Linked DNA regions of Lytechinus pictus. The protein of the gene in region 3 purifies or fractionates together with the protein of the main gene of each other region. This does not show direct contact. Links are inferred from orthologs where the notes say so. Each region holds a gene or a part of one and is shown on either strand. Other genes may lie near its edges.

Region 1 (7,195 bases), on a different chromosome or scaffold from region 3:
TTGCCTTCGTGAAACGGAAAGCGCTGATTTGTCGCCAATCTTCCTATCTCGGAAGAATGGTCCTAGGACGTTCCTACATATCGCTCATCTCGTCATGCAACGGGCCCCAGCTGAACAACCAACATAACAGAGACCGAAGTTTTTGGTCTAGTACCGGACATGCATCACTCAAGGGTTCATTACATGCCGCCGCGCACAGAAAAATAAAGCCATAGAAGTCGTGTGTTGTGGACACCAGAAGTGGGATCGCAGCATGCGGGACCCACTAACTTTTAGTTAGAAATCCACTGCCAAACGCGGTTCATGGTGCGAGGTTAGTATACTAATACTTAGTCTTGAGCCTGAGCTGAGGACTCCATGATGATGTTTTTTTTTAAATATTTTGACATACGGTATATTTCTTCATCATGGAGTCTTAAATCCCCGTCCATATATCTATAAGAGACACATGTACACAAAGATGGATTTCAGAGGGTGAAATCGGTTTGTATTGTCAAATTTTATTTATCTATGAACCTTCAGGTGCCTAATGCGTATAAAGGGAAAAAAATTATTTCACTATAAATGGTAAAAGTGAGACGTTTCTTACCAGACCCGATCTCCCGTAGATCCCTCGATCCGTTTGTCAACAATAGACCTGACCCTTGAACAGCTTCATGATGACGTACTTCCGACTAGCGATGCCGTTTTGAAGAACAATAGATACAAATTATTATTTCACAAATACTAGAATTTAATAATTTATAAATAATTTGTAGTTTATACTAATTATTTATAACCACGTATTGACAAAGAGCTCTTCAGAAGAGTTTGTTTGCAAAAAGGGTTAGGTCCACTCCAAGAATTTTTTTTTTTTTTTCTTCCAATATTGCAATATTCTTATGTGAAATTAAATTTTCATGATACCCTACCATGACTCATGAGAACATAAAATTTGGTATAAAAGAAATCTACCTGTCTTCATATCTTTTAAAATATTCTTTTCCAAAAAAAAATCAGTGTGGACCTAACCCCTTTTGCAACTAAACTGAAATGGACCTAACCCCTTTTGGAAAAAGGTGATTTTTCTTTGCCATTTTATTTCACTTTTTAATGGGAATTTCATATTTTCTTTGGTATCATCTTATAGAGCTACTAAAAATCTATACATTGAGACAAAAAAAAAAATCAAATTTGATGAAAAATGGACCTAACCTCTTTTGCAAGTGAGCTCTTCAATTATAGATCTAGATCTAGTAGTAGATCTATAATTTATATATAGTTTTTCATTAACAATTAATATATTTTCTGACTGAAATATTGGCCTGATTTGCCGAATTTCAAATTCGTCTGCTCTTTCGGTCGAATGTTGAGGTGTGGACTGGGTGATCTTTGATGTAGCGGCTAGTTCCTAAGGTACCGTGCACGAGGTTTACTGTGATAAGAGCCGTCAACAGCGCATAGATAAACCTGATGAGCATCACGATATGAACGAGCATAATATTGGAAAGTGCCATGGAACATGCAGTTAAAAAGAAAAAAACCTAAAAATTAGTTAGCAAACACAAATTTATTAACAACATCTGCTCAGATTCGATATAAAAAATGCAAACTTCAACTTAGAATTTACTCATGATATGATATATAAAGAGAAAACAATCACACCAATTCTTTCTTACATCATTCAAATCAAGAATATCTGTACCCGTTTGGCGCGCGTGCGGAATCATGATGTAATTTGTCACACACGAAAATAGTTGTTCTTCATGCAGGGGTATGCAGCAAGTGCGATGCATGCAAAAAAAACGGTTGGTAAATATAAAATAATTTTATCATATTCATAATTTTCATAATATTTGTAATAGCAAGTATAAATTTTCCTTGATTGTATTTCCTCTAGTTGTCATTTTTGTCTCGCCTGCATAGCAGAGCGAGACTATAGGCGCCGCTTTTCCGACGGCGGCGGCGTCAACATCAAATCTTAACCTAAGGTTAAGTTTTTGAAATGACATCATAACTTAGAATGTATATGGACCTAGTTCATGAAACTTGGACATATGCTTAATCAAGTATTACTAAACATCCTGCCTGAGTTTCAGGTCACATGACTAAGGTCAAAGGTCATTTAGGGTCAATGAACTTTGACCATGTTGGGAGAATTATTTTCAAAATCTTAACCGAAGGTTAAGTTTTTGAAATGACATCATAACTTAGAAAGTATATAGACCTAGTTCATGAAACTTGGGCATAAGGTTAATCAAGTATTAGTGAACATCCTGCTTGAGTTTCAGGTCACGTGACCAAGGTCAAAGGTCATTTAGGGTCAATGAACTTTGGTCAAGTTTGGGGTATTTGTTGAATTACTATCATAACTTTGAAAATTTATGGATCTAGTTCATGAAACTTAGACATAAGGTTAATCAAGTATTAGTGAACATCCTGCCTGAGTTTCAGGTCACATTACTAAGGTCAAAGGTCATTTAGGGTCAATGAACTTTGGCCAAGTTGGGGGTATTTGTTGAATTACCATCATAACTTTGAAAATTTATGGATCTAGTTCATGAAACTTGGACATTAGGTTAATCAAGTACCACTGAATATCATGTGCGAGTTTCAGCGGCGTGGCAGCATGCGAGACCCACTAGTCATGCTAGTTAGAAATCCACTGCCAAACGCTAACGCTTAAATGCGGTTCTGTGTGCGAGGTTAGTATAAATACTAATCGCACTAGTGTGAGCTGAGTGACTAGTCTATAGATCTAGACCTTGGGCCTGTTGCATAAAACTTTTGCCATTAAAAAACTCTGGCAAACAAAATTATGCCATTAAAAATTACACATTAAAAAACTGGCGAATAATTTGCCATAGTTTTTTATGGCAAAAGGTTTATGCAATTGGCCCCTTATTGCAAATAGCATTTGTTGAGTGAGAGCGTATGTCACTGCAAAGGATCACGGGAATGAAAAGGGGGCAAACGCGAAAATGGCTTTTGTTTCGGGAAGCCATACAAGTTTAAACGCCATATGTTTTGTGTAGTGTCACTCGAAATCTGGGCTTTTTTAAAGTCTAATTTCTAGGTATTGAATTAATTTTGGATGCTTAATTGTACTCAAGGTTCGAACTCGGGCATTGGCACAGGAAAGTGCAAGGCACAACACCGGCAAAACTTCCAGGGAATATTTTATTTTTTAGACATTAGATTAGACATTCCTAGTGAAATCATTTTTTGCTATGACACTTACCAAACGATATGAAGCCACACTTTCCCTCTTGTTTGTCTTTCTATAAATATAATACTATAATTTTTGATGCTGAAGAAGGTTGTAGCTCACATCAGGGCCTGTTGCATAAAACTTTTTACCTGAGAAAACTCAGGTTGTTTTTACCAGAGTTTTTGCCCTTCGTTAAAGTCAATGGCAGAAATCAGACTAACCTTAGTTTTCTCAGGTAAAAAGTTTTATGCAACAGGCCCCAGGCGTCCATCTCGTATCCGGATTTTTCTCGTTGAAAGCTGCGAAAGGGCGCGTGGTATTATTTAATATGCTTGTTTGTTTACATCAGAAGCTTGTATTGCTGGTTGCGTTCTAGGCGCTCAGCATTTTTTTTTCCTATTGCCCTTTCATCAGCTTGTCAAAAGATGGCTTACATCACCTATAAGTTGTTACATGAGGTGTAACCTGTTGAGTTTTTGTACAATTTCCTATTGTACGCCAACGACTTGAATCGAGACTGTTATTCACATTTCGATTGTTTGCGTGATTTTGACCGCAGTATGAAAGGATCTTCGGAGCAGCTTGGCCGAGATTAATAATTTTATTTTTAAAACAATTTAGACATATATATAATCAAGAAAATATACAGATTGAAAGTGATTGCCGTCAGCTACAGCTTAGCACAAGGAGGAGCCAGCAGATATAGCTGCGCTGACGGCAATCGAGCTATCGAAGAAGAACCTGGCTGGTCCTGATCTGTTGTCATCAAAATTCGCGATTTTCCAGCTTATTTTTATACGCTTGTCTAGACGGGACGTAATATGGTATCACGCTCGGTGTCCGTCCGTCTGTTAACTTTTCCTTGTACACGCGATAACTTCAGTTTGACTTGACCTAGGCTCATAAAATTTGGTGTATGATACTAGCATGGATCCCAGGATTTCTATTGATTTTGGGGTCAAAAGGTCAAAGGTCAAGGTCACAGTGACATATTTTCATCTTACCCTTCTATCTTTATCCACCAAACACGGAGTTAGTTCCAGTCTTACTAAACCTGTTTCACTAAATGTCCCTTGATATTGATACTATCGGTAGAAAGAGCAGAAGAGACGTAGCCTTAGTCACAAAATAGCATAATTTTTAAAAAGCAAAAATATAAAACTGCAATTATTGTGATGAATTTGGATATACATTCAATCAAAATAATAGAAGAGGAAAAATATGTACCATGCATACTTGAACCATGAAGACTGGAGCATGCTATTGCTGAGAAAATGAAATTACGGATAATTCATTTCATAACAAAAAAATCACATGTGAGATGGGTACCCCTGGGATAGTAAATTTTGATAATTTACGGAAGTAAACCACAATGGTTTTCTTTGTGAAATAATGATAATTATATGTTTATTTATTGTTCCAAACATCATCAAAATATAGTCTAACATGAAATTTTTAATTCTTTAGATACTGAAACACACAATTTGACCAATTCTTTGCATAAATTAGAGATAGGATTTATCAAAATGTTAATAAGGGTCTGAAAACAACGAATACGAGTCCAGTTATGGATGACCTGACGTAGAATCTTTATCGATTCAATTATTTTACTATTTCAAAATGATCATGGTTTTGTTGCATTTTATCAACCATTTTTATAGCTTCTGTGCATTACAATTATTATTGAATGAGCTATCACACCCGTTTTGCAATGTAATTTCAACTTCTATGATTGATTACGTAAGATTATAATTTCCAAATTTCGAGGCACTTTTGAATGTCACAGTCTACCCACGTGAAAGAAGTTATGACAGGTTCGCAGGTGTCATAAATATTTAATCAGGTTGTTGTCCCCGATGTTGGCAAAGAGGGCTTCGTGAAACGGTTAGCAGACAAGTAGCTCACTATCTCCGATTTAGTCAAGAAGTTAAACTTATGACGGTGTTGAGAAATGGGCCCCTGGTAGCCTCTTGATTTTGAAGTCGAAAGTTCAAAGGTCAAGATCGCAGTGACATGTTTTCATCTTACCCTTCTGAAGTCCTTGTTAACGCGATAACTTTAGCTTAACTTAACTTAGGCTCTTATAATTTGGTGTGTATGATACGAGCATAGATCCTAAGAATTCTATTGATTTTGAGGTCAGAAGGTCAAAGGTGAAGTTACCACCTTCCACTTTTCTTGCTTGACCAATAACTCCATTTACCACGTTACAGGCGGGCGTATTATATGCTTGCCTTAGCGACACTCTTGTTGTGTGTGCTATAGAGAAGTGACAAACTAAATGACAATTTGATAAAATCCACCAGAATACAGATTCTGTCATATCTCTGAGAAAAATATTGAGAAAAGACCATGTTCAGAAAACCACCTCAGGTTCCCTAGTTATATGAAGAATTTGTTTATTTTTCAATCTGCAGTATCCAGATGATCCAGGTATGCATAATGTAGGTGGATTGCCAGGGGTTAGTGCCTCCAGACTACCATCTACCTATAGTAAGAGAGGAGACTCCACGTTTGTCGAACGTGTAAGCAACAGCTTCACAGGGTCCTTGCTAGGGCTTGGTCTTGTAGCTATTGGACTTTTCAGCATCACAGTCAATGAGGTGAATATAATTTTGATAACAGTATATATCTTATCTATATGTAGTTGTAGTATAAATATGATTTTGTCATGCACTTTTTGCTCTTTCTCTTTCTCCCTTCTCTCAAAGAGGTCCACCCTCTTTCTTGTTCCTCCTCACTCTCAACTACATGTATGCCTGATTACATCATGTTAAAACAATGGAATCTGTTCAGGTGAGTAGCCAGGAGGGGGGGGGGGGGCAGTTGCCCCCCCAAAAAAAAAGAAAAAAAGGGGAAAAGGGAGAAAAAGAAATTGTGAAGGAAGAAAAGGGAAGAAGGGTATAGCTTTATTGTTTTTTCTTTCTTTTTTGTCAAAAGAATAAAAACCTCTTTCTTATACAAAATTTTTCTTCCGCGCGGGAAAAAAATATAAAAATTGCCTTTCCCCTTTGTTTCCCACACCTTTTTTTTTCTACTCCGTTTTTCTCCTTCCCGGCCATGGTAATCGCATTCTTGCCAGAAATTATAAAGTATACATGGGTGTAAAGAGAATGAGAAGTATTTTTTTTATTGCAATGACACAAAATTTCGGCTCTTCTGTTCAGAGCGAGTTAATTATTATACCGTCACTTGATCCTGAAGTCCCCAAATGCTATTTTTTCCGCTTTTCAGCAAGCAATTTTTTGGCAAAGTATCTGCTCAAAGGGGGAGCATTGAATTCGTGCCGTGCTTTATGCAAACGTTGGTACGATGAAACTTTATTCTAAATTTATATCGCTGCACATCCATCTCCTGTCCTGTTTTGCGCCATTGATTTGTAATTTTGAATATCACAGAAGTTTCTTAATCATACAAAAGGAAGCGCTTAATATTATGAGCGAAATTACACAAATTTTTTTCCTAAAAAATAACTCACAGAAGTTTCCGCGCTTCGCGTGCATGAGAAAAGAAAAGTCCCTCTTGAAGCTTGCATTGTTGCATTTTTCTTCGTATTATTTATAGAAATATCAAAATTAGAGCAGGTTAAAGTTTCAGAGAAATTTCTAAAATTCAGAGCTTCAACGCCATTTGCGGGAAGGAATATTTCCTCCCTGCATATACCCGCATCTACTCTGTTTAGCGAGTTAAAGAAATCTATTGTGGCTAAAGCTTTTACAATCAAATCTGAAGTGACTAAGGTAGGCATTTTATACCACTTCTGTTCTCAATTTCTTTTTATAAAACGTCTTAGCTTTCGCGCTTTGCGCGGTAAGAGGAATTATTTTGAATTCCTCAATCTTTTCCCATTTTGGGGGCACTTATCTTTTCTTTTGAAAACAGGTTTTGTTTTTAATCACAGCAAGTCACATGAAATTGAGTTGATAAGGGTATTAGAGACGCAAGAGACATCTTCTTTTGATTCAAATTTGATGAGATATCAAAAACTTCCCCCTGCAGCCTCCC
Region 2 (7,381 bases), on a different chromosome or scaffold from region 3:
TTACAAAAAGTGGACGAAACTGTCATGTCCGTTACGCTTCGTGTGTCATGTCCGTTACGCTACATTTTGAGCTATGAATACAGAATGCACTGCAAAACTGTTGTTAAACACCATTTTATGGATAGAGCATGATCTTACGGTTAAATTAACACCAACGTCAGGTGCATGCAATCTAAGAATTCACAGGAATTTTGATAAGCAATATAGGAGGTAAAAATGCTTTGTCCATTTCGTGTCATGTCCGTTACGCTAACAAAGAGTGCAATTTCTCCGCGACTGTTCAACGAAACGATTTGAAATTTTATGTGTATGTAACTGATACTTAAATGTGTCTGATAAGCTTAGTAACAATTATCAAAAGACTGCTAATTCTAATGTATAAACCTTTGAATTACAAAAATTTGTCTGAACGTCATGTCCGTTACGCTGGAATTGCCCATATGTATTAACCTTCCTAAAATGTTATATGATAAAATGTTCCAAATAAAAAACTAAATGATATTGTTAAAAACACCAATTTCCTCTCCCATTTCCGTACGCAGCAAAAAATTACAATTGTTAAACTGAAAATTTTCACAAAATTCACCAAAGGTGTACATGATATCCTTCAATATACTATGAAAAAGCGCCCCTTGTCAAACTCAGTCGCTTCGCTCCCTCGCTTTGTTTCATGGAGATTTTTTTAGTCGTCTTGCCACCCCAAGGAAAATTTTTGTGCATACAGCCATGCCATCTCTCAATATGCCGACTGCCTGGCCAGATGGCTGAAATTAATTGCCATCACCACGATAAATGCTTAGAATAGTATAAGATGCATTTTGAGGACCAAAAAAGGGAATTTTGGGGAGGTACAGGCTTGAAATATCGCTGAAAAAAATATGGTTGCTAGGGAAAATGCTGTTGCTAGGCAACATAATGGTTTCCATAGGTAACAGAAAAATCTATTAATACTCAATTATTTAGATTTGAACAGATAACATGACACAGCAGGGTATAAGAATGATTTATAACAATATCATAAAACCCATTCAATGATAATAGACCATACTGATGCGTATAGTCCTATAATACACACAAAAATAGTGATATCCGTCACATGCAGGGGTTAATCAAACATGGCAATAATGTAATTTTTCATGATCATAAATGCATTATACATCCTAGTCTTCCTCTTTTATTCATTTTTCATCAAAATTCACCTTCTTTATTAGTTTTTACAAATTAAAAACTTAAAAAAATTATATAAAATTAATTAATCTGGTAAAAAAGAGGAATATTGAAAAGTGAATATGGTTGCTAGGGAAAATACTGTTGCTATGCAACAGTTTTGAAATCAAATATGTATGAAATATATATTTGGTTGCTAGGCGTTATCATATCATTCAATCTGTAGTGATTTTATCCTTGTAAAGTCTATATTTATATATAAATTAGTGTAATTGATTAACAAATATAAATAATAAGTTACTGCTTTGCATTTATCACAAAAATGGGCATGGCCTATTCAAGGCTGGTTTCCATGGTGAAGCTACACTTTGCGACACTTTTAATTCTCAGTTCTGAAAAATTCAGAAAATTTCCTTTAAAATGATGCATGTTTTTGCTTTGATCCAGTCGGGGGGATTAAAGTCCCAAATTTTGGCCTCTCGCCGCTCGCCTATATCGAGTAGTGTGGTTATCACCACGTATCGCGCGCGACCACGTCTGTATCGGAGCTTGATTGAGTCGCATTATATACGAATGTGAAAGACTATGTAAATGATTTGCGATTGTCGGATGTGATAATTATGTCCATTATAACATATATAAAAAAATACAAAGGGAACCTGATTTCGTGGGGGTGCTGCCTATGGAAAATAATACACGCCCAGCACCCCCGCTTCCCAGGTCCCTGAATGCCACAACTTTCTTATTTTGCATCCGATTTTGATGAAATTTTCAGTGTAAGTTGTTGTTGTTTGATTTTTCTCTATATTCAAATCAATATTTTTTTCTGTGGTGCAAATCCGTCAAACGGAGGGATGATGAAAGTGGCAGAGGGGGGGGGGGGATGCAAAAATCACAGTAAGATGTGGTATATATATATATATATTTATATGATTTCTTTTTAAACAAAAACTCGCACACATTCATTATCCTTGTTTTCTTCTTCTTCCTTTTGATCTTCTCATCTGAGAACGAAATTAATCTCCAACATTGTAAAATCGTATAGGTCACGCCATCTACGACAGCTGCATTATCTCGTTTACAACACGAATTATAACTTCTTTCACAAGTCCACAGTTGCTCTCATATTTCTGTACTGCAAACACAATGAACAACAACAAAAACACATTAATAAAAACAACAACAATGGAATACCCGATTATGTACTGGAAACCATGATAAAAAGGCAATTAACTTGATGCGCTCATTTCAGTGCGTGTGAGCTAATATAGGGGCAGGCCAGCTATGTAGGCCTACGGGTCAAAACTGTGTGTAAATTGGAGGGGGAAAGGTCATAAGCGAATGAACTAGCTAAAACTGGGACCTTTTTTTAATGAAAAATGTAATTTTGTGATAGAGTATGATATAATGTTAGGTAAACCACTATGTCTCATAACTGGCTTGATCCTCGCCCCGCCCCCAAAAGGAAATAAAGATTACTTAGTGTCGTATATAATAATCAAACACTTTCTGGGGGAATGACAGGGTCCCTGTAAGCCTACTCCTCTGACATCTGCAAACCAGTGAGACAAAATAAATATTACATTATACTGCTTAACTATAGATTTTGAACAAATATCATCAACTTAATAGCGTGTTATACAGATAAGGCCTAACCTAATTGCCTTTGTCATTGAAAAAAAAAAATGATAAACATAACCCAGGTCTGTTCAGTTTAGACATAAAATGCTGTAAAAAAATCCAAACATGATGGGCACAGTTGCAAAAGGGGTAGGTCATTTTTTCATCAAATTTGATTTTTTTTTTGTCTCACTAGACTTTAAATTGCTCTATAAGAAAATATTAAAGAAAAGTTGAATTTTCCATTAAAAAGTGAACAAAATGGCAAAAAAAATCTCTTTTTTTCATAAGGGGTTAGGTCCATTTCAGTTTGGTTGCAAAAGAGGTTAGGTCCACATATTTTTTTTAGAACATAGTATTTGAAAAATATGAAGACAGGTAGATTTCTTTTATAACCAATGTAATGTTCACATGGTAGGGTATCATGAAAATTTAGCTTCGCATAAGAATATTGCAATATGGGAGAATTAAAAAAAAAGATTTTCTTGGAGAGGACCTAACCCCTTTTGCAACCAAACTCTTCTGAACAGTTCATTAATTTTGTCAAACATGTCAAAATGGGTTAGATCAAATTTTCATAAATTTCGTTGTTTTCAATAGATTTTTAGTCGCTCTGAAAAGCCTCTGATGATATCAAAGAATATGAAATAACGTGAATAAAAGTGGCAAAAAATTTCTTTTATTCAAAGAGATTGGATTCACTTCAGTTTGCTTGCAAAACGGGCTAGGTCCACAATGATAATTTTTGAAAAATATATAGAAAAAGACAGGTAGATTTCTTTTACACCCAATTTTATGTTCATAATAGGCCTACTTAGGGTCATTGGCGTAAATCCCGGGGGGGGGGGATATATCCCCCCACTTTTTTGAGAGGGGCCGGGGATGGCGTGTACAAATATTCCCCCACTTTTTAAGAAAGAAAATATATTTTAATTGATCCGTTAAATCTTTGAATATCTGTCATAAACAACCATCATATTTTAGAATTTCTATTTGAAAATGCGATTGAAAACCCAAAAAGTTGTTATTTTTGGCTTTCTCGCTTTGCTCGCTCATATTTTAGAATTTCTGTTAGAAAATGCGATTAAAAACTAGAAAAAAATTTGTTATTTTTGGCTCACTTGATTCGCTCGCTCGCAAAATAAATATTAAAATGTGTGTAAGAGGGTCTGTGGGGGTCAGTGAGAGTGTGTGCTTATACCTATAAGTGTGAGATCGACAGAAAAAAAAAAATCGTCAAAACAGTCAATCATCCCCCCCCCCCCGGCCCCCACTGCACTCCTCAGAGTGGATTTACGCCGGTGAATAGTGTAAATCATGACAATCTAGTTTCTCATAAGAATATTGCAATAAGTGAGAATAAAAACATGATTGTTCTCGGAAAGGTCCAAAGTGGTCAGGACCTAACCCCTTTTTTTGCGACCAAACTCCAAAATACCTCTCGATTGCCGCAGCCGCAGCGGATTGTTTACAAAAGCGTACCGTAATTTCATTCACGCACACGATCGAGGCCGCGCCGAGGCTTGGCCAAAATTAGACTCCGCCCTCATTTTTGTTTCGCAACAATTTTTCGTGTGCACATTGCGAGCCATGCATGACTAGCATCGATTGGTAACATTTTCTGTCAAATTTTCACTTAATTGAACATTTGATTCGATGATTGGAGACACTCTCTGGAAAGTCAGTTGCGAGCTTCACCATAAGAGCAGGTTTAAGATTTATTAATATTTCGTTTTAGACTTTATTTTTGCAAAACATACGGTATGGTACATGCCGTATTATTATGACAGTCAGTGATGTTGTGATCATGTGTGCCGCATCTGCAGCGGACTCAACACAGTACAGAGGCAGTGAACCGGCCGAAGGCCTGTCTCTCCGGGCTTAATTATAAATTAACCCTGTGGCTGTGCCGTTGTGGAAATCTCCTAATTCGGCCTTTCTGGCCGCCAAAATAACTGATTTATCATTCTCTCAATTTGTTCACTCTACCGGCAGTTACATAGGCTCTCGATCTCGTTTATGTCCAATTTCCAAGATGGGAGACTGGGAAGTTTTTGGATTTTCTGCCCTTGTTGTGAGCCTCATCGTGGCCGGAGTGAAGAGGAACTCCATTGCGAATTTCATTCAGGATTTTAAAGATGTATCCAGCTTAGCCAAAGCTCTAATTGGCATCAAAGGGGCAGAAAGGAAAAATAAAACTGTCATTACTGTCTTAACGGATGGAGTGTCGCATTATCCAGACCGTCCCTTTTTGCTCTATCAAGATGAAAAATACACATACAGAGATGCAGAGTCAGAGTCCAACCGCATTGCCCGATGGGTAAAGATGAACTCTGATTTGAGCCAAGATGAAACAGTGGCAGTCCTCATGAAGAATGAACCGTCTTTTATATGGATGTGGCTAGGTTTTGCCAAGCTAGGAGTTGGAACAAGCCTTCTCAATTACAACCTGAAAGGAGAGAGCTTGATGCATTGCATGAGAATTAGCAATGCGAGATACTTAGTGATGTCAAGAGGTACATGAAAAAGGAAATTAAAATAATGTGTATTGTGGATGAATTGAATATTCATTTTTTTTTTCCTGTTATGGGTCTAGTAATAAGCTCAAATAATTTCTCTCGATCAATTAATTGGTAGAGTATTGCAAATTAAGAATGGTTCTTAAATGTATTGTAGGCCTATAAATCATTCATACACGTACAATTTACTTCTGGGCTGGTTTTACTTTTACATGTAAGAATTAAAAAAGAGAGAAAAGTTCCAGTGATAGATCAAATTGAAGATCCAGTCTCACAGGTTTCTTATACATTTTACCTTTGTGGAAAGCCATGCAATTAATTTCTTATCAACTCGTATTTCGATGTTACTTTGATGAAATGAAGATTGAAATGATAGAATTGAATCAAATTTCCACTTCCCTAGATAGGAAACCAACTGTTTGCCAACAAATGTTTTTAACCATGTTTTACTACAACTTTAACAAGCACATAACTTGCCTCCGATGATATTTGTCTCTGCGCTTCAAAAATATATGCTTATTCCCACTAAAGTATAGTTGAAAATGAACACTACTTTCCCTCAATGTTCATTTGTTTTGCATCCATGGTACGAAAATACATGTAAAATTAACAAATAATCTCCAGAAGTTACATGTAGGCTCCAAAAATTATTAAGCACATTTGATATCATAATTGATATTAAAATTCAATGAGAGAAATAAATTATGCTTTGACATTAATGATTAATTAATTTTTTTTTCTTCTAATTTTGGTTAAATCTAAATAAAAAAAGAAAAAAAGAAAGGTCTATCAACCCAAGGTCGCTCTTCAGTACTTTGCACAGACTGATATTTTGGTCTGACCTTTTAATTTTCTCAGATCTTATTATTCTATTGTCATTCAGTTTTACATGTAATGATACATTTTAAATTTTAATCCAACACATGACTTGTGAATGTCCTGTTAAATACATAGTGAGTTTGCAAAGACGGGATTTTGGTTTGTTTAAACTCTTAAAAAGTTTGAAAACACAGGTCCTGTTCCCAAGCTTTAAAAGACTGATTGATTAATACGGAGAAGTCATAACCTCCCACTTCCCTGATTGATATTGCGGTGCAAGAAACTCTATGCGTACCTCTGTCGTACACTCACCTGAGCACTATTCTTATTTCTTACTGTTTTTCCATGTAGCTTTCATCGACATTGCCAAGGAGCTCCTTCCTGAACTGCAGCAACTTGGAATCAAAGTATGGGTTTTGGGTAGCATCTCCAATGGTACAAAGGTTCCTGATGGAATGGTTGCCATGGATACCGGTCTCGTGACAGGAAATCCACTCCCAGCCGATCATCTAGCTCCCATCACCCATAGCACAATAGCATCTCTTATCTTTACCTCTGGTACTACAGGTTAGACTACAGACTGTTTTTCATACTTTCTTGGTTCAATTCCCTCTACCCCAAATAAATAAAAATTCTGAAGGGGGGAATGTATTTCTTTCCCAAAAGTACATACATGTACGTTGCAAAAACTTGCAATTACTGCATGTATCTTTTCCAACCTGCAAAGTCTACTGTAGATTCTTCATATGAAGTCAACCTTTGTGAGTCAAATGAGCGCTTATCTCTGACAAAGCATTGGGTATTTTAGGCCAGAATATGCAACATTTGTTACTAAACGTGGTTGATATGAAACTTGAAAATGAAGCTATTAAAAAAGTTCATATTCAGCTTGAACTACAAAACCAAGGTGTTGGGGAATGACCTTATGGAATGTAATCTATTATTATTTTATCCTACATTATGTTATCCTTAGGTTGTAATTCCACTTCCATCAATAACATTGAATGCTTCCGATAGTATTGTTCCAGGGTTCAAGGTCAAGGCCTGAAAACTATCTGGCGTTTGGTGCGGGACAATCATGAGATCATCATTATTGAGTAATTGAGGAAGTTGGCTTCCTTCCAGTTCAGAAAAACTATTTGGTAATAATAAGAGCAAGGTTTTTCAAGTGTCAACAAACCTCCACTGTGGCTTGTGAGCTTGTCATGAAGGCCATTGTAAGGTATGGTTTGGAGAAATAGGCTACTATCGATGTG
Region 3 (7,320 bases):
ACGTATCTTCGTATCCATGTATCCAGTTATCAGTACGGTAGTAGTATCCACGTATCCCAGTATCCACGTATCCTCGTATCCATGTGTATCCACGTATCTTAGTATCCATGTATCTCAAAAACGTAATTTCTAAAAAAGTTAACAAGTACCGGTACGTCGTATCCGTTGTTTTCTCGTTTTAAAATCTAGAGATTTTTGTAATCGATTCATGACATTGGTTTCTAAAGGTAAGCCAAAAATTAGACATACCCCTATACTCAATTAATGATGCTATGTGCTTCCCTAATAGAGCCTGCATTCTTTAAAAAAAGTTAGGCCTAGATCTCATGTAAACCGTGCGGAACGGGTGCTGAAGCGGAGAATAGTTCGCAAAGTCAGTACATTGGTGACTATCGACTCGAGGAAAACGGCCGATGAAAGCACCATGCATTTCGATCTAGTTCATCAGTAGACAGGAATAACCGTCGTTTCTGGGGATTTATTCAACAATTTCTGACATTTTACTGTAATCCCCATTTACCGACGGTAGGGTGTACGTGTGGGCTCGCATGTGTTCTCATTCCCTCCCTTTTGTCAATTCACAGTCCAAAGTTTGATGTAATTTTACACATCGAATTTACAATCTAAGGATGTATAAACAACAAACTTTTAAAACTTGATGTTTTAACATTTAAATACTTTAAACGATATAGATGAAAAAGGCATGAAAAATATACTTTACCGATGTTTAATTGGGTTGAACACGATAAAAATGGTCAAAATGGCAGCCAAACTATAAAATATTTACAAACGAACGTCAACAATCACGAATGTGATATCGATATTGCTTTCGATATTATACGATCTGCTCCATATGCGAACGAAACCGAAGATAAACGATACTAGTTATACAAGTACTAGTACTAGTTGTAATCGCGATATATCGATTCGAGACATTAAGTTAATACGATAATGACGTCATTCAAGATGGCAACTTGCAAGAAAAACCGTCAGGTCAGGTGAAAATGTCTTAGATGACAGATTTCTCAATCATCCAGAGGATTTTTTTCAATAACTCCGGCCCAAGGTATGCAATTACTTAAGTTATTTATATTTTCCTGATAATGGAAACCATGAAACTTTCAATTTTGCTTAAAAAACAGTTTTAAATCGCGATCTATAAAACGCTAGTTCACTAGTCTATACGTTGGCTGTAGGTACGGGGCCCCATCCCCTTCAGTCTATGTATGGTGAGTGGAGCCAACGTAGTTCAGCGGAACAACCAAAATACAGAGACTGAAGCTTTTGGTCTAGTTCATCAGTTACTACCCATGCAGCTATATTGGAGGAGCATTTAAAAGATTGAGCTTTTTTGTTTTGTTTTGTTTTGCCAATAATCATATGCCAAGCTTCATGGGGGATTTTCAAACTCACGACAAAAAAATTACAAGAGAGAGAGAGAAAAAAAATTAGTTGAGGAAGTATTGAGAAAGAAGAAAACAGAAAAAAAAAAGAAAACGTAATATGTAAAGGTTGGGCTGCTTTTGATTACTTTTAATCACATTATATAGCCAAACACTGTTTATTTTGCAATTACATCTTTATATGGTCATGACTAACCAAACATGTACAGCCTTCAGATAAGCTGGACCCGCCCCTGTTGGAGCTGTGATTTTCCTCATTTCTTTCTCTGTCATCCTACTTGCATACTAGTAGGCATATTTTTATCACATATTTTTAGTAAAAGCCCTGATTTTAAATTGTGAGACACACCTACTCGATTTTAAATCCTAGTAGATATCCTATAAAAAAAAGAAGAGAGAAAAAAAGACGTAGAAAAGAAAAAGAAAAAATAAAAAGGAAAAAGAACTAAATATTTGAATTTTACTTTATTCAATTACTTTTTTTAAGAAAACAAACGTTAATAATATAATATATATGATGGCGAAAATATGATGTTGGTGACTGGTTGCCAAATAAAAATAAGAATCCCCTCCATCACACGCAACTAATCGCGCGTTTTGAGAACGCATGCTGTGATTGCGGTCATGCGTAGACAGACATGCAATGCATGTATGCACTAATAAGTTAGTGTATGCCCATAGAGATGTATACTAATTACGCTATCTCTATGTATATGCCGTAGACCTGACTGCATTTGTTTATACATAGACCAATTTAAAGTGATTTTCTGATCAAATTTTCAATCTGATTATGAAAAAGGCCAGAAATGAAAACTCACGGCCAAGATTTCTGTTTTACGGCCAGAATACGGCCAAAGAAAATTTCTTTGGCCGTGAAATTTTTTTTTTTCACGGCCAAGCTACTTTTTTTACGGCCAGATTTCGGGAATCTGGCCGGAAAAAAGGCCAGTTGGCAACCCTCATGCACATACGATGTTTTGAAATTGGCAGCGAACAATACGTGTGAGGAACTCGATGCAGGACGGTTTGATCTGCGACCCTCTGCCTCACGCATGCAATGTTTTGAAATCAGTAGCGAATAAGTGTGACTGTGAGGAACTTGATGCTTTCTTATTCTACATCCGTTGTTATTGTCAGTGTTATGCTACTCATTGCAAGTTTGATTTTCCTCTATTTATCCAATCAACAATTTTCTGGGGTAGTCTTGAGATGGTTCGTTCAAGTTGGTCCATATCCCGGGGGGGGGGGGGGGGGGGCACTTCCATTGACGTGTGGTCTGGATACCATGCGCGACCATGGGATCTCGAAAAGTGCCCTAAACATGTATTTTCCATAACATTTGGCATGTGAAACCCTACCCTTAACAACAACTTTTGTAAACAAAACGATACTATTGCCTATTTATTGGCAAGTATTCCCTGAATTGAACCCTAAACAAGTACAGCGATATTTCAATTGTTATGTTACGGACGTCGGTCGTCGGTTTTACCTTTACTTACTACTATGGGTTAAAGGGGAATCCAGCCTTGGCCATTAAATGTTGTGTTGGGAAGGAGAAAATTAAATTAAACAGAATGGTGAAAGTTTGAAAGAAATCGGACAAGTAATAAGAAAGTTATAGCTGCTTTAAAATTGAGATCACCAATACTATGTAGGTTTCAAATTGGCAACTGGGTAAGTAAATGATGACAAGGGACAAGGACAACTTTCCCATAGGCCATGTACTTTATTATCAGGGATTTGTGGTTTTCTCCTAAGTACCCATTCCCCTGGGGCAGTAATCTAAATATAACCCAGGTAGTATATTGTTTTATGTCCTCATGAAAGAAAAATATAATTTTGAAATAAAACTTTTGGGAAAAATGACATTTTAGCCATAATATGTATTGGAGTACATGGAAGAGTAGTCCTTGCCTTACATCACTATGACATCCCATATGCGGCCAATTTGAAGTCTCCATGGGTATAGTGTTTACCAATATTTACAACTTTTGAAAATTCATAACTTTCTTGTTGTTTGTCCAATATTGTTCAAACTTTCACCGATCAACTTGTCTGATTTTTCTTTTCTTTATAAAATCAAGTTTTTATTTGGGTTGGATTTCCCTTTAAATACAGCCCCACCTCCTACACCTCGCGCAAATTGTACTCTAAACATGTAGTGTTGACTCTGGACTAAAGTACATCCTTTATGAAACATTTTAGTCTTAATTTTTTATACCCTCGCAAATTTGACCCTAAACACGTAGCTTTCGTAGCGAAAAAAGATACCCTTTTTCATTATTTTAGCGTTTTTGACACTGTTGTTACGTTACGTACATAACATGCCCTATCTTGAAAAAGACATCCTCTTTACGTGTTTTTTTTGTCACGCATGGTATCCACTCTTCAATCTACATGTAAGTGCCCCCCCCCCCCCGGTCCATATCACTCGTCCAAGAACGAGGTTATATAGGGTAATTATTGTCAAATCTGTAAAAAATGAAATTTTGTATTTCAAGCATATATAACAAAAGAAATAGTGAGGGACATTATCGCATGTCTCATAATTTCCATGTCACTGAGTTGTGCATATTGATCAGTACTGTTTTTCGAAAAAAATATGCGGAACTTTTAAATGTCATAACTCATTTTACATCCAATTTTGATGAATCTTTAGCGTAATGCTAATTTGATTTGTCTTTATTTATTCAAATCTTCTGGGGTGAGCTAGACCTTTAAATTTAGATCCTAAGTTTTAGCAAATAATTACATGTAGATCTACAGCCCAAAATTAATTATAACGCAATTAAAGATTTTCAGAGATGGAGAACACCATTTTTGGAAAACAGGAAATCAATGTTTTTTATTTTTTTTATTTTAAGATTGCATTCATGGAATCCAAGGATTCATCATCATCAATCCCCGGGGATTCCCTTTTGCAACCTTTGACCTCAGAAGATGCACCAATCAGGAACCCTTCTCCTCCACCGGAGGACATCCTAACGGGAGAAGATAAGACCTTACTGGAGGCCGACACCATTCAAAACACCACGTTTAGCAAGCATTGGGTGTTTTCAATCCTTATGAAATTACTGCAGGTATACTTGAGACCCATCATTCAAAACACTTTTCAATTCTTATGAAATTACTTCTGGGCCGTGTCTTACAGTTACCAATGATCCAATCAATCGTAACTCTATGGAAATCCATCAGTGTCATAATTTTTTTTCTACAGGATATTTGCACAATGTCCTTTGTCCTATGGAAATCCATCAGTGTCATAACCTTTTGTACAGGTCTACAGGATATTTGCACAATGTCCTTTGTAAACAAAGAGAAGCATAGTGAATTCAAGAAAACAATGAATGCATGAATATGCATCTTAGTTAGAAAATATTTTGAACAAACATGCGTAACAGATGTTGACCTTGCTCGCCGTCCATAGTTGCGATTGTTGGGCCCCGTCTTACAAAGAGTTACAATTTATCCAATCAATCGTAACTCTATTGAAATCCATCAGTGTCATAATTTTTTCTACAGGAAATGTGCAAAATGTCCTTTGTAAACAAAGGAGAACACACCGAACTGTCACAAAATCAATGAATTTATGGATATACATTCGTATCTAAAATAAATTTTGAGTAAACATGCATTGTATATGTTGACTTTGCTGGCCGCTTTCCATAGTCGCAATTGATCGGATCAAACGTAACTTTTTGTAAGATGGGGGCCCTGGTATACTTGAGACCTACCATTCAGAACAATTTTTTATTCTTATGAAATTACTTCAGTATACTTGAAACCCACCATTCGAAACACTTAAATTCTTATGAAATGACTTCAGGTATACATGTACTTGAGACCCACCATTCAAAACACCACGTTTAGCAAGCTTTGGCCTTTGGTTTTTTTTAATCCTTACAAAATTACTTTCAGGTGGCCATTTCATAAAGCTGTTTGTAAGTTAATTATGACTTTAAGAGTGACTGGTGATCCTTTCTTACGTGCTAACCCATCGCCAATGAACATTTTGGCGTATACTTTTTACCACAAGAAAGGATCACCAGTCGTTCTTAAAGTCGCTCTTAACTTTAATACGAACAGCTTTATGAAACGCCCACCTTGTATATTCCAGACCCAGCATTCAACACACCATACTTATTTAGCAAGCATTGGGTGTTTTTTATCCTTATGAAGTTACTACACTTGAATCCCACAGTGGCACCGTCCATGTTAAGCAAGTTTTGGGTGTTTTCAATCCTCCTTGGAGTACTTCAGGTATACTTGAGACCTGTTGAGGCTGTTCGGATTCTATTGTGCTCAGTCCTGTTACTTTGTGTGGTACAGCTTGAGTTTAGATGAATCGTGTAATGAACTCAATCTGTATTCATTATTTTCTCAGTGAATCAGATTTTTCTTACCTAGCAGAAAATTTAGACTCTCTTTGGAATATATTTTACCTTGTTTTTTTTCAGTAAAGTTGTGATTGGGCCCATTTATTAGTGCTCGTGTTACCAAAGCAAAATTATTGTTGATATGCCACTTGTTACTAATATGAAACAAGTTTTGATGGTTTTGATTATTCTCTACTGTGGCTCAGTCTCTTTTATTTCACCATTTTTCTTGTTGATTCTTTTATCCTTGTTTTTAAATTCCTGCAGCAAGTTGAGAAAGAGCAGCATTCACAGACAGAAGCTGATGCTGCCGAATTGCATGATGGGATTGATATTGACGAAGAGCTGGAGAATGAACTGTGTCGTTTGTGGGATATGACTGCGAATGTGGTATGTGACAAAGCTTTGCACACACCACATGGTGTGTCACCCGAAAGTAGATTGTATTTGCTTCTGATATGAGAATACAAACCTGTACAAATCTTAAGCCAAAATTTCTTAATTAAAGATAAATGTCAGTTGTAACGATTTCAAAATGAGTTCGTACAGAATCCAATGAAATGACCACCAAAGTGTCTGTTTGTATATTAATAAATTAAAATTTAAAATAAAAAATATGCCGAAGGATTCTGGAAGAAATTGTGTAATTGCTGAGAAATTAGCAAATAAGCACGGGATTCGGGTCAAGCGTCGGGCCGACATTCAAAGCAATAATAATACACTGTCCCACGTGCGCTTATCTGTGTTGGTGATCTTCAGTGTGAACATTTTTCAGCGTAGATTTCAAGATTTCACAAAGTTCAGTTTATGTAACTGTACCAGGTCTAGATCCTCGATGATATAATGACAATTAAGCCTGGTTTTACAGACTTTCTCGTGAAATCAGTGTTTACTGCAACTACTTTCATTTATCTTTAATATCAGTGGTTGTATGAATACCAAAATAAGAATTCCAGGGTTATTTGGAGCCTCCCCTCAGGAAAAAAAGTGAATTTAATTCCAAGTCATGATATCAATCTTGCCATGGGTTGCAATTTGAATCTGGTTTGGGTTTTATTCCCAGACGGATAAAAAAAAGCTTGCAGTAAAGCAGAATTTGGAGTTCAGTATTCCTAGCATCAAATGTGATCATTGTTCCATTTTCAATTTATCATAAACAATGCAAATGTGTCAGATTTTATAGTTTGCAGCAGACTGGAGACTTGAGTGTAGGTTTTGACATTAGGGATGTAGGATATACCAATGATAATGATTTTTTTTTTGAAAGGGTAAATTATACTTTTTAAGTCTTCTCTTTGTCTTTTCCTTCAGGAAGTGGCCAAATTCTTACAAGAGTGGAAGTCTCCAGACATTTTCCTTAGCGTCATTTCTAAGACAAACGCTCCAAGAATAACAGTAAGCTATCAAAGTAACTTGTACGATTATTTGTACTATAGAGCAGCAGGCAAAATTTTGATTATTTTTTTTTCTTGGGGCTATTTTCCACAACTTATTGCCTGCAACATTGGATAAGCTTTGATATTGGAATGAATGGGAATTTC

Evidence for each region.
Region 1: the proteins of protein saal1-like (region 3) and transmembrane protein 43-like purify together in Homo sapiens (affinity purification with mass spectrometry; 3 studies listed by BioGRID and IntAct, with this or other methods). This does not show direct contact. The link is inferred for Lytechinus pictus from reciprocal best matches to the Homo sapiens genes SAAL1 and TMEM43.
Region 2: the proteins of protein saal1-like (region 3) and long-chain fatty acid transport protein 2-like purify together in Homo sapiens (co-immunoprecipitation; 3 studies listed by BioGRID and IntAct, with this or other methods). This does not show direct contact. The link is inferred for Lytechinus pictus from reciprocal best matches to the Homo sapiens genes SAAL1 and SLC27A2.

What each region holds. Positions count from the first base shown.
Region 1 is NC_087247.1:40,343,453-40,350,647, forward strand, and holds the start of transmembrane protein 43-like, read left to right. Parts: upstream 1-4,135; 5' UTR 4,136-5,625; coding exon 5,626-5,793; intron 5,794-7,195. UniProt on the Homo sapiens protein: May have an important role in maintaining nuclear envelope structure by organizing protein complexes at the inner nuclear membrane. Required for retaining emerin at the inner nuclear membrane.
Region 2 is NC_087249.1:15,476,947-15,484,327, forward strand, and holds the start of long-chain fatty acid transport protein 2-like, read left to right. Parts: upstream 1-4,341; 5' UTR 4,342-4,822; coding exon 4,823-5,303; intron 5,304-6,476; coding exon 6,477-6,692; intron 6,693-7,381. UniProt on the Homo sapiens protein: Mediates the import of long-chain fatty acids (LCFA) into the cell by facilitating their transport across cell membranes, playing an important role in hepatic fatty acid uptake.
Region 3 is NC_087253.1:7,260,582-7,267,901, forward strand, and holds the start of protein saal1-like, read left to right. Parts: upstream 1-4,267; 5' UTR 4,268-4,276; coding exon 4,277-4,483; intron 4,484-6,046; coding exon 6,047-6,169; intron 6,170-7,090; coding exon 7,091-7,174; intron 7,175-7,320. UniProt on the Homo sapiens protein: Plays a role in promoting the proliferation of synovial fibroblasts in response to pro-inflammatory stimuli.